Bombyx mori: one gene and its partners. The main gene of each other region encodes a partner of the protein of the gene in region 3 in a complex. Links are inferred from orthologs where the notes say so. Each region holds a gene or a part of one and is shown on either strand. Other genes may lie near its edges.

Region 1 (3,427 bases), on a different chromosome or scaffold from region 3:
GTCTTATTTTAATTTATAGATTTGGGCGAGATCGTTATCTTAGCCCAGACTCAACAGAAACGACTTAGAGTAGAGAGATGAGCGCTCTTTTAACGCCCAGCCAACTGATTTTGTTGTTGAATTGTTTATTGTCCTCGAAAAGTCAGTCAGTCAAAGTAGTCACGTGCGATTTACATATCCCAAAATCCCAAATCCCAAAAACTAAAGTTGATGTGAGTTTTGACATATACAGGACTACTGGAGTCAGTGAAAAGCTTTCATCTAGCACATGAAAAACATGCCCTCATACCAAGTCCGGTAGTGGACATTGTAGCCTTATAATTTATATTTTTTAATTGGAAAAAGCATTTGGAACATGTTACATTTACATGGTGTCGTTTTTTCTAGCCTTTTCCAAATAAATATGGTAATATTATCCTGTCTGCTAAATCAAAGTTCATAATTATACCTTGATAAAACAAGGTCAGGGCAAATAGAATTATTAGCCAAATAATAATTAAAACATTCAATGAAACATTATTGTACCACACAGTATTTATTAATATAAGCTTTACATTTTAAAACATATCATTTTTTAGATCCTCCAAAGCCAGAAAACCCCATAATTTGTGCTAATTCAGAAGGTGCTGGTGTATCATCTATTTCATCATTCTCCATTAACTTCCGTTTCTTGTCCCGACGTCTCTCCCTACGTAGCTCTTTCACACGAGCTTCTTCTTCAGCGGCTTCCTTTAATCTTGTGTCTAATTCATATTCACGCTTTTTCTCTTCCAACTTTCGTTTATTGAGTGCAAATCTTGCTTTTACCTGGAACCAAACAAATATAATGTAGTAGTAGTAGCTATGATAGAATAGAATAAATATTATTAAAACCTGAATGGTATTTATAAAATTGAGAACAGCTAGATGAGTTAGATAGATTATTTCAAATTAGTGGTCTAGAAATTTAAATCATCTATTTGGTTGAACATTTTACATTTATTATTCCTTAACAATAGCATTAGAACTTGATAAAATTAAGATTGAAAGAATTTGTTGAGAATTATTTTAATATTGAGTGCTCTAGTTGAGTGGGATGGTAGGTTTGCTCAACTCAGGCAATCACAAAAATAATAGCGTTGGTTCATGATGTTTGTTATTATTTTGATGCAACAGTGGCCAATTGATGATCTCAGACCATAAATCTAGTAGCAAGTCAACAATCCTATTTACCTGCTTGGTACTATGCATATACATACATGTGAAAAAGTAAGCTCACCTGATCTAAGCTGCTCCTTTCTATTTTCATGGACATTCCCAGATTCCTCTGATGTTTTTTACCATTGATGTGATCAAGGAAATTTATTGAATCTTTAACAACACAGTCACAAACATTACAATAATATCCTCCAGATTGGGACGTTGGCGTATTCTTATTGATTACTACACTCTTCCCGAGTCTCGAGTCCAAATCTACTTTATATTCACGTTGTTTGAGAAGTTCACGTTTGACTGGAGTGGCTGGAAAATGAAAATTAAACAAACATTTATATATTGTGTCAAATTTGTATTTTAACGTAACAAAGTGTGTTGACACAAATATTTTACCTTTCTTCTTGGATTTTTCTTCTTCTTCTAGCTCTGCTTTCAAACGCTCGGCTGCAATTTTCTCGAATTCCTCTTTGTCCCATTTTCTTCGGTGGTCATCGGGGCGCATACTCATGTTTAAATTTTATAGTATTTATTTCACAACAATTACAAGTTATGATTTTCTTACACACTCCACTTGTTTGTTTTATATTAAACGTGTACCCAGAGGGAAGAGTAATCAATTAGATCTATTAAAAAAATAACACGAGAAAATCATCCTTAACAACACAAACGAAATGTTTCTAATTGACAACTAGCAGTGACAAAACTGACAAATGATTAGTTGTAGTATTTCCATTTTCTAACAAGAAAGGCGAAAGCATATATATATTATACAGCCTAATCTTTTATATATTCAGTTACATGAAAATTAATATAATAGGTTGGGGAAAAAGTTTCTTCGCATTTTTTAAGAAAATTAACAAATTTTTTTAATAGTTTATTTACATTTAACTTAAGTATGTAGGTATCATTTTGTTCGATAGCTTTTTGCCATTTTGTAAATAGGGACATGATCCCATTGCTATAAAAAATTTGGGGCTTCTGATCAAAATACCGAGACAATTGGTTTTGGCAGTCCTCTCGTGATGTTAATCTGACACTGCCTAAAGAATTCTGAAGAACCGAAACAGGTGGAAACCTGAAGGTGCAAGGTCAGGACGGATATACGGATAAACAGCGGATGCATTAACATCTTCCAGTCAAGCTCTCTTAATTTTTGCTGAATGGCTAAAGATGTGTAAGGTCACATTGTTATCATGATGAAAAGCCACACTCCTTCTGTTGATTAATTCTGGCCACTTTCTCTCAACTTCTTCCTTTAATCTCATCAGTTGTTCGCAGTAGAGTTCAGAATCAATGGTCTTGCCTGGTGGTAACAGCTCATAATGAATAATGTCCTTCCAATTCCACTACACAAACAGCATCACCTTGTTGCAAGTTAACCCAGGTTTTGCCACAGTCTGTGAAGCCTGACGGACCTTTGACCACGACTTTTTTCGTACGTTCTTGTCGTGCGTGATCCACTTTTCATCACCAGTTATCAGCTTCTTCAAACATGGTTCGGTTTCATTACGTCGTAATAAAGAATCACAAATGAGTACACGGTTCATTAGGTTTCTTTCAGTGAGCTCGTGAGGTACCCAAATATCGAACTTTTTTGTGTATCTATTTTTTTTCAAATGAGCCAAAGCTGTTTTGTAGTCAATTCCCAGTTCTTCAGCTACGTCGTAACTACTGATATGCCGATCTTGCTTTACTTTTTCAAAAAGATGCGATCAGTCACTTTCACTTTTTCAAAAAGATTCGATTAGAGCGACGTACAAATTCTTAAAATAAAAATTTCGTATTGAAAACGCTTAAACCAATTTTGTGCTACTTTCACAGACACAGCACTAGGTCCATAAACATCGCAATTTTTTTTCGCGGCCTACGTTGCATTTTTACCTTTTTTGTAGTAAACTTTTTAAATGTATCGATTTTCTTCATTAGATTCCCTAATCTTGACAGTACGAAAAACAAATAAAAATCACACATTTTCTTAATTTGAATTTGGAATTGTCTTTTTTAAAATTTTAAACCTTTAATTATTCCAAAACCAGCCAGATACAAATAGTATAACCAAAGAGATTTTATTACAAGTTCATACATACCTACCTACTATAATGAGAAAAGACTTTTCCCCATACTATTATAAAAATGATATAGATATAAAAAGAGTTGAAGATGATTTATTTGAGGCTGTAATCGATTGGGGTGAAATGAGATGAGATGGGATGATATAACGTTTTAGTAAAAT
Region 2 (3,657 bases), on a different chromosome or scaffold from region 3:
CTTTATTAATATATATCAAAGAGTATCTGTGGCAGATCTATTCCACCAAGGAAATACACAAAATGGTTTGTACTTGTCTCGGATAAGAAGTGTCTAAAGGCCTTCAGTTAGGAAGATTAGGCAGACAGGAATTAGTGACACAGCCTTGACGTGTCCCTGACATTCCTCATGTCCATGTTACACCATGACCATGTAGAGGATACTAATGTACAGCTTACCTCAGGGTACTACTATTAATGGCCATGTTTTTATATGTGAACAATGGCAATAAAAATTTTGTTTCTTAAAATGTATCAAAAGTTTATTATATCTTCTTACCAATAATTTTCACAACATAACAGATCCATGCCACCACCATCAGAGAATAAAGGAGAGTTACGTCGTAAGAAAAAGTCATACTATGCTGCTCTTAAGAAACAAGAAGACAACAAGCTAGCAGAGCTTGCGGAGAAATACAGAGACAGAGCTAGAGAGAGGAGAGATGGTGTGAATGATTTAAGTGTTATTGATCCAACAAGCAACACAAGTAGTGCCTATAGGTAAACTTAATACTCTCTTTTTTATATATATAGCTAAGAAACTATTTGGGAAAATTCTATTGTTTCTTTTTTGTCACCATTTGCCATCAGAACCAAATTAATTCTTATTAGCTTGGACCTCTGTGCTTGTCTTGAAGTGAGTTCCTGAGATCACCTTTGCCACATTATATGATTGGAATGATTTCTTAATGCCTTTTCTGAATGCTATGACATACTTTTCAACCATCTCTGATCCTCTGCCATTCAAAACAAAGTATAAAATTGAGTGAAGTCCTATGTAGTTTTTTTTAAAGTTTTGAATCATTCATACTCTAAATGAATCGGTAGTGTCCTTCTAACTATTATGCTGAGGGCACTGGGTTCGATTCCCACATCGAGCAAACATTCATGTGATGAACAGGCTTTTCTAGGTGTTTATTACCTACTATATGTATATATTTAAACTTATATAAGGATGTTTGTCAGTATCTGGTATCCATAACATATAGACACCTAATTTGGGGCCTGAGGTCCATGTGCGATTTGTTCACAGTTAAAAATGAAAGTAAAATCTGTAATTTTTTTACAGAGCTGTTGCTCCAGATTTGAAATCAGGTCTAGATGCCAAAGAAAGGAGGAGACAACTTATCCAGGTATTTACCTATAGTTAACTTTTTTATCTTAAATATTATAACAACATAGAATATTACTGTTCAATATTTTTAATAAACAATTATTTTACAATTTACTTCATTTTACAGGAATCCAAATATCTTGGTGGTGACATGGAGCACACTCACTTGGTAAAAGGTCTCGATTATGCTTTGTTGCAGAAGGTAAGATATTTATTCAATTTCTATTGATCAATCAATATTATAAATAATGGTTTTATTTAATGCTAATTATTTAATGCTATTATGTTTCTTCGGTGTTAAGTTGTTAACAGAGCATACATATTGCAAAATGAAGACCCATCTTCAGATATTAGACCAAAATCTTATAATATGTCAGTATAATCTGCAATATGTTCTAAAGGATAATATTTTTTATTTACTATGTATATACATATATATTTATATTTGTACACACAAATGTATGTATAGTTCTATAGTTTCTAACAAGATAAGTCTCATAATTGATATTATAATTTTGACTTTGTTCCATAGATCCATATTACAAGAATATAATATAGGATCATAGGATATATTAAAAATCATGTATATTTATGTATTTTTTTCACGAATCATAAATTTGTTATAATATTATATTTTTACTCTGTGTTAAAGGTTCGTTCAGAAATACAAACTCGGGAGCAAGAAGAAGAAGCCGAAATGGAGAGACTGGTCACTATTCCCGTGGAACCTGTAAAAGAAAAGAAAGAAGAAAAGAAGGAAGTTGTAAGTCAATACATGTTGTTTTTTACTCGTAAGTTTGCAAATGAGTTCATGTCTTAATTTTTTTATTTGCCTAGTCATATGAAGTGGGAGGAGCTAGAACAAACTGCCCAAGACCGATGTAAATGGAAAAAATTGATTCGAGCCCTACACCCCAGCAGAGGGTAATAGGAAAGAATGATGATGATGCCTAGTCATACGAATGAAGTTATGGCTCATTTGGTTTTAAGTGGTTACTAAAACTCAACCCATCCAGCACCTCACAATGTGAATGTTGCCACTTATTTGGAGATGTAACTCCGTATTGTATATGTTGAAGATTGCAAGTGTATTTACTAACTAGCAGCGTTTACTACAATACACAACAAAATCTGTGTTACAGAACTTGCAATAATTGCCTTGTTTGTTTTTTTTTGTAGTTGTACTTTAGTGGAACATTTATTTATCCCGAGTCTAAGCGTGTCACAATATGTTCTACAATAGATAAAAAAGCCACCTCTAATGTTGACATTATAAAATAAAATCAATCACCATTTAGAAAATATTCCAAGTCTAAACTTTAGAGAATGGCATCATTCTACAATGATAATAGGCAGTAGCACCAGTATAGGTATTAAATGTACTAAGCCAGAGTCAGAGTACTGGCTCATTCATTAGTGAGAATACTCGATTCAAAGCAAATGTTTATCATGATGATAGTCTAGTCATAGTTCTATCAATAACATTGAAGTTTAAGAATATAATATTTTTTACTTAACACCATAACCATCTTCTGTCTATCGTTAGAGGTCAAATTTGTCAAAATGAACTATTCTTCACTGATGATGTAATGAAATTATCTCGAACAGTTTGATTCTCTTTTCAAATTAAAATACTTACAGCTTCAAAAAAACAATATAATTTTTATTTTATTTACTGTTAGTTTTATTATTACAGGAAGAAGAGATGCAGTTCAAGACTCAAATGGGAAAAAATATTTTTGACATGATTCTAGAACAAAAGTAAGTTAATTTTTTTCGTAACATTATAAACTCTATTGTGACGATAATTAGAGCAACTACTTAAAATGCAACACCGTTATAAAAGAAAGATTTAGAATTCATGTCTCAAGATGGGTGGCATTTACTTGACCACTTAACCAATGACCATTTAACTCCAAGGAGATTGTCAACCCATTGAAGCAATAATTTTTTGTTTAGATAAAGAACAGATTACTTAATTCCTTAATAACGTTAGATTCATTGAAGTTCTTATTTAGTACTAGCGGCCCGCCCTCGCTTCGCTTCGGAAGCTGTAATTCATTATTGATTTCTCCACTATTTAATGGATGTTATTACATATAAACCTTCCTCTTCAATCAATCTATCTATTTAAAAAAACCGCATCAAAATTCGTTGCGTAGTTTTAAAGATTTAAGCATACATAGGGACAGACAGATATAGGGACAGAGAAAGCGACTTTGTTTTATACTATGTAGTGATATAAACTAAAGAGTTATTGGGTTTGGTGTTATAAAAAATGATGACTGCCTTTTTCAGGAACAAGAAAGTTGTCCGCAGCGAAATGTTTGCTCCCGGTCGTATGGCGTACGTGGTCGAGCTCGACGAAGAAGGCACAATCGATTCCGATATACCCACAACGTTGACTCGGAGTAAAGCGGACGTTCCCGAAATGGACGAAAGGAGTTCGGCTTCGAGTGCAAATGATCTTGTCGTCGAGAAACTGACTCAGATCTTCTCATATTT
Region 3 (4,379 bases):
CTATATGAAAATTGAGATGTCAGTATCTGTATCAGTAAGACGTTTAGCAGCTGAGTGCAGTGGTAGATCATCGACGCCTCCCGTACACTTTAAGGTTTAACTTTATAAATAAATACCTTATGGTCCGATCAAAGGAGGCCGAGAGGATCTGAGTGTTGTCTCGGGTGAACTGCAGGCAGGTCACGCCCTTAGAGTGAGCTCGGTCCAGTTTGCGTTGCACTTTACCCGTTGACACTTTCCAGACCTGTTCACAGAGAATTTTATTGAGTAATTATGTTGAATTTACTTAATGACCCATGTGTTGAACAAAGGATACAATGAAACTATCTTGAACGACCAAAAAATTTCATGTTCAAAGTTCAATGCAGCCCGGGGAAGGGGTGGCGAAGGGGTGGAGAAGGGGTGGAGAAGAGGAGGGAAGGGGAGGAGAAGGTCTCTTAACTTCACATTACATTGCGGTTGCACGATATGTTCAACAAAAAGTATATAATCATCTTAGGAAATATATATTGCTTTCCGTTTTGTCTGTTACCACCTAATGATGCCCAGGTGAATTCTGAGCTCATTAGGTCATATACATAGCATTATATAATTATATATTAGGGAGCAATAATAACTCACTTTTTACACGGAAGCAGTAATGAAAAGGTTAACTAGCATGAGGTTTTAAAACATTTATTACCTTAATTTTTCCATCATTAGACCCAGCAGCCAATGTGTCGCTATCCCTCGCAAAAGCCAGGCTCAGCACCGCCTCTTCCATGCACATGTACTCATCATGAGCCTGATAACGCAAATCCTTACGGATTTTTCCTGTTGTAAAGTTCCAAACTTCAACGACGCCATCTACGGAGCCCGTCACTAAATATTGTCCATCAGGAGAAAATCGCGCGCACTCCACGTGGGACTTCTGACCGAATTTGATGATCTTGGACAGTTGGGTGGGGCAGAGATCGTCTTCTTGGTCTCTTATTGCGGCTTTACCACGGAACAAATCTATAGTGGTGCCGGGAGGGAGCAGACCCTGGTGCTGTTGCCATTTGAGGGCCTGGCCCAGTAGTGCCAGCAGACGGGACGACGGTACGACGGACACCTCCCCGGCGAGGGACGCTGCGATGGCAGCGCGGCGCCGCTCCTTGCCTCCTCCACTGCCGTATGCCTCACGAGGATCGAAATATGAACGTGCTAACAGGTTTTCTGTCATATGAAGATAAACATTCAGACACATACAGATTTAACTATGGATTAAAACAATTGGAAATGTGTATAAAAATTGCTTAAACTAAACATGTTTTTATTGCCTCTATTTAGATCAGCTTAGGACCACCCATCTGGTCACATTAATGGACATCAACAATGCCAAAGGCATAGCCAAGTTGCTACAGCAGTAGTATTATTTACTTTAATTGTATTGCATTTATTTACTATTGTATTGCAATAAGTTTTATTTTAAATATTATATCTTTTTATATTATATTATTCATATTCATTAGCATTCTAAGATACAAATCTGATTTAAAGACTGGATGTATTTTTAGCCAAATACATATACTAAAATTTTGACTCACCAAGATGCATATACCGATCTGTTTCATGCTGCTTCATCAACAGACAAGGATGTGTCTGACGTAGCAAGGATCTCGCAGCACCCAATTCTCGCAGTTCTATCAACTCCAATACAACCTGCTCATATAACTCCATCAACTTTTTGTCAGGAAGCTTGAGTGAAGCAGTAGCTTTAAGTACTGTGTCCCAGTGGCCATTGTTAATATCTGCGCAGAAACCGTCCACGCTGTCTACTGTATTTAGAGTCACTCCAGTTTCCTCCTATATATTAAAAATCATTTACTTTCAAAATTCAGAGAGATGACATCTGAATCAGATGTACAGTTACGGCTTTTTATTGCATAAAATGGTGAACAAGCTCATTGCCAACTAAGTGTTGAGTCTTTAGTTGAGACATATCAACACTGCCATCCTTCTAACTTGAAACTTCAGGTATAAATTTCAGTGTTATACATAGTATTACAGCTGTCACATCTATCAAACCTGTACACATGGCTGCTCTATTGAAAAATAGGCAGGAACTTATAGGTACCATTGGGGGGTCACAAGACACCCTAACAGTAGTGAACAACATGCATACATCTCATATAATTTGGTCATTACAACTACTAATCTTGGAAGTTAAAGCTTCAGTGGCACAGGAATGGTATCAATATTTAAAAAAAATTCACAACCCCAAATTGTTCAATATGGGTGGATCTTACTAAAAGTTGCATGCTGTCTGAAGTTAAAAAAGCCGTATGTAACATTAATCCTAGCCAGTGTCAAAGCTTAAGAGTTTATCAATAATAAGTTGGTATTCTTTTCTGACTTGATACAATTGAAGTTCTCATAAATGTACACAAAATTCATTAATATAAGTGAATAATTAAGTAAAATAAGTGCAATCTGTAAAGTTTAAAAAATTTACACTAATTCTATTCATTAAAAAATATGTTTAATTAAATATCAACAGAATTAACCTGCAAAGTCTGCAATGTTTTGGTTAAATTTGACTCCTTCAAGTATTGTTGTATCAGTCTGATAACACTGCAATTGAAATAAAAATATATTTTAGGCACTAAATTAAATATTTGATGAATAATTTCAAGTAATTTCGTGTTTACATTGATAGTAAACTCACTCGGCTGATTCTATCTCAATGGACATTGTGTATAAAACGTCTTTTATACGAAGTTACCACAGAAAACTTGCTACGCGAATTTGAAGGTTTATATTTTTACATATATAATAAACAATGTCACAAAATTAATGTCTAAAATTTTATTGAAAATAAAATCACACAGAAGGAAATAAACACAATTCAAGTTCAGCGCCATAGATTAGCTACAAGCCATACATAGATTGCCCACCATAGAGTTACTATTACAACCTTACTCCATGTTGCCCACATAACATTTAATTTTATGACTACAAACTAAACGTGAAGTGTATGGTCAATGCCTCCTATGCTACCAATAGGCCTTAATTATTATGTTTAATATGCATTACGCATTTTATCCTGCCTAGTAGCTTGCGATGTACGCATAGTACATTTTATCCTGGAAATTGGACCCACGACTCTTTGACCCGAAATAACGGGTTAAGACTGAGGGCGACTGTATATTGTCCGGTCATCAGGATCGTTCTTTTTTTAATGCTTAGATGAGTGGACGAGCTTACAGCTGGTGTTATGTGGTTACTGGAGCACATACACATCTACAACGTTAATTCCGCCACCCACCTTGAGATGTAAGTTATAAGGTCTCTGTTAGATACGAGGGATACACGAGTGAAACACTTGCCTGCTGTTAACACACTGCCCTATATTTGTTGAAATACCCCGTATGCGTAGGCACACGCACACATACTTAACAGTCTCAGTATTACAACGGCTGCCCGACCCTTCAAACCGAACCGCATTACTACTTCACGGCAGAAATAGGTAGGGTAGTGGTACCTACCCGTGCGGTAGGTACTCACAAGTCTACTCACTACTCACAAGGATACTCACAAGACTTTCTACCACCACTAATTACGCCACTTCCGAAGCTCCTGATCCTGCGGTCTAGAGTCGCCGATGAATTAGCGACATCTTCCCAGCTCACTCCAGTAATAACTAGTATCATCGCCGAAGAGAGCTAGAAGGGTCTCTGACGACTGGCGTGTATTATTAAAATATATACTGAACTGAGTAACGGGGAAAGAATGGAGCTTCGCGCTCGTTGACGAGAATGCTTTTCGCGGTGACAAAGTCCCAGAAGGGTTTACGGAGCAGGTGCGAACTTCTCTGCCGGGCAAATTACTGTCAAATATAACGGTAGGCAGCAGCTTGACTCAGCCCCTAGCATTGCTGAAGTCCATGGGCGATGGTAGCCACTCACCATCAGGTGGGCCGTAAGCTCGTCTGCCTATAGGACAATCACAATTTATAGATAGGTATATGACTAATTCCCATTTATCCATCTGCCTTCTATCATCTTTCATCTTCTGGTATCCATAAAACTAGCCGTCCGCATATTAAATGTTATGACGAAAAGGTGCCAGCGTTTTATCTACGAATATTTCAAAGCAATTAAGACTTGAATCTCACGACTCGAGTTTGATGCCGTTTACGAGCACGATAGATTTGGGTTTCCATGAAGTTCCTCAACACCAGGTAACCAAGGACCCTAAGGTCGTGAGCTAGACTGCCCTTTCACGACAAAAGAGATGAGTATATTGATAACAGATGCAAGTAACGCCAGTGAGCCATCTCGCGGCAAGTGAGGCATGAACTTATTTAAGGTGTTTTTTGAGGTACTTGTAAAAAAACAATTAAAAATTAAAGTATG

What was found.
Region 1: WD40 repeat-containing protein SMU1 (region 3) and zinc finger matrin-type protein 2 share a complex: the UniProt entries of both Homo sapiens proteins name them as parts of the spliceosome B complex. The link is inferred for Bombyx mori from reciprocal best matches to the Homo sapiens genes SMU1 and ZMAT2.
Region 2: WD40 repeat-containing protein SMU1 (region 3) and protein Red share a complex: the UniProt entries of both Homo sapiens proteins name them as parts of the spliceosome B complex. The link is inferred for Bombyx mori from reciprocal best matches to the Homo sapiens genes SMU1 and IK.

The regions. Positions count from the first base shown.
Region 1 is NC_085128.1:9,738,018-9,741,444, forward strand, and holds zinc finger matrin-type protein 2, read right to left. Parts: upstream 1,906-3,427; 5' UTR 1,703-1,905; coding exon 1,588-1,702; intron 1,501-1,587; coding exon 1,259-1,500; intron 808-1,258; coding exon 568-807; 3' UTR 517-567; downstream 1-516. UniProt on the Homo sapiens protein: Involved in pre-mRNA splicing as a component of the spliceosome.
Region 2 is NC_085122.1:6,718,448-6,722,104, forward strand, and holds part of protein Red, read left to right. Parts: intron 1-341; coding exon 342-539; intron 540-1,107; coding exon 1,108-1,171; intron 1,172-1,279; coding exon 1,280-1,354; intron 1,355-1,804; coding exon 1,805-1,915; intron 1,916-2,848; coding exon 2,849-2,913; intron 2,914-3,450; coding exon 3,451-3,657. UniProt on the Homo sapiens protein: Involved in pre-mRNA splicing as a component of the spliceosome. Auxiliary spliceosomal protein that regulates selection of alternative splice sites in a small set of target pre-mRNA species. Required for normal mitotic cell cycle progression.
Region 3 is NC_085112.1:942,733-947,111, reverse strand, and holds the start of WD40 repeat-containing protein SMU1, read right to left. Parts: upstream 2,917-4,379; 5' UTR 2,716-2,916; coding exon 2,690-2,715; exon of another isoform or gene 2,673-2,689; intron 2,596-2,672; coding exon 2,529-2,595; intron 1,828-2,528; coding exon 1,569-1,827; intron 1,198-1,568; coding exon 683-1,197; intron 245-682; coding exon 117-244; intron 1-116. UniProt on the Homo sapiens protein: Involved in pre-mRNA splicing as a component of the spliceosome. Regulates alternative splicing of the HSPG2 pre-mRNA. Required for normal accumulation of IK.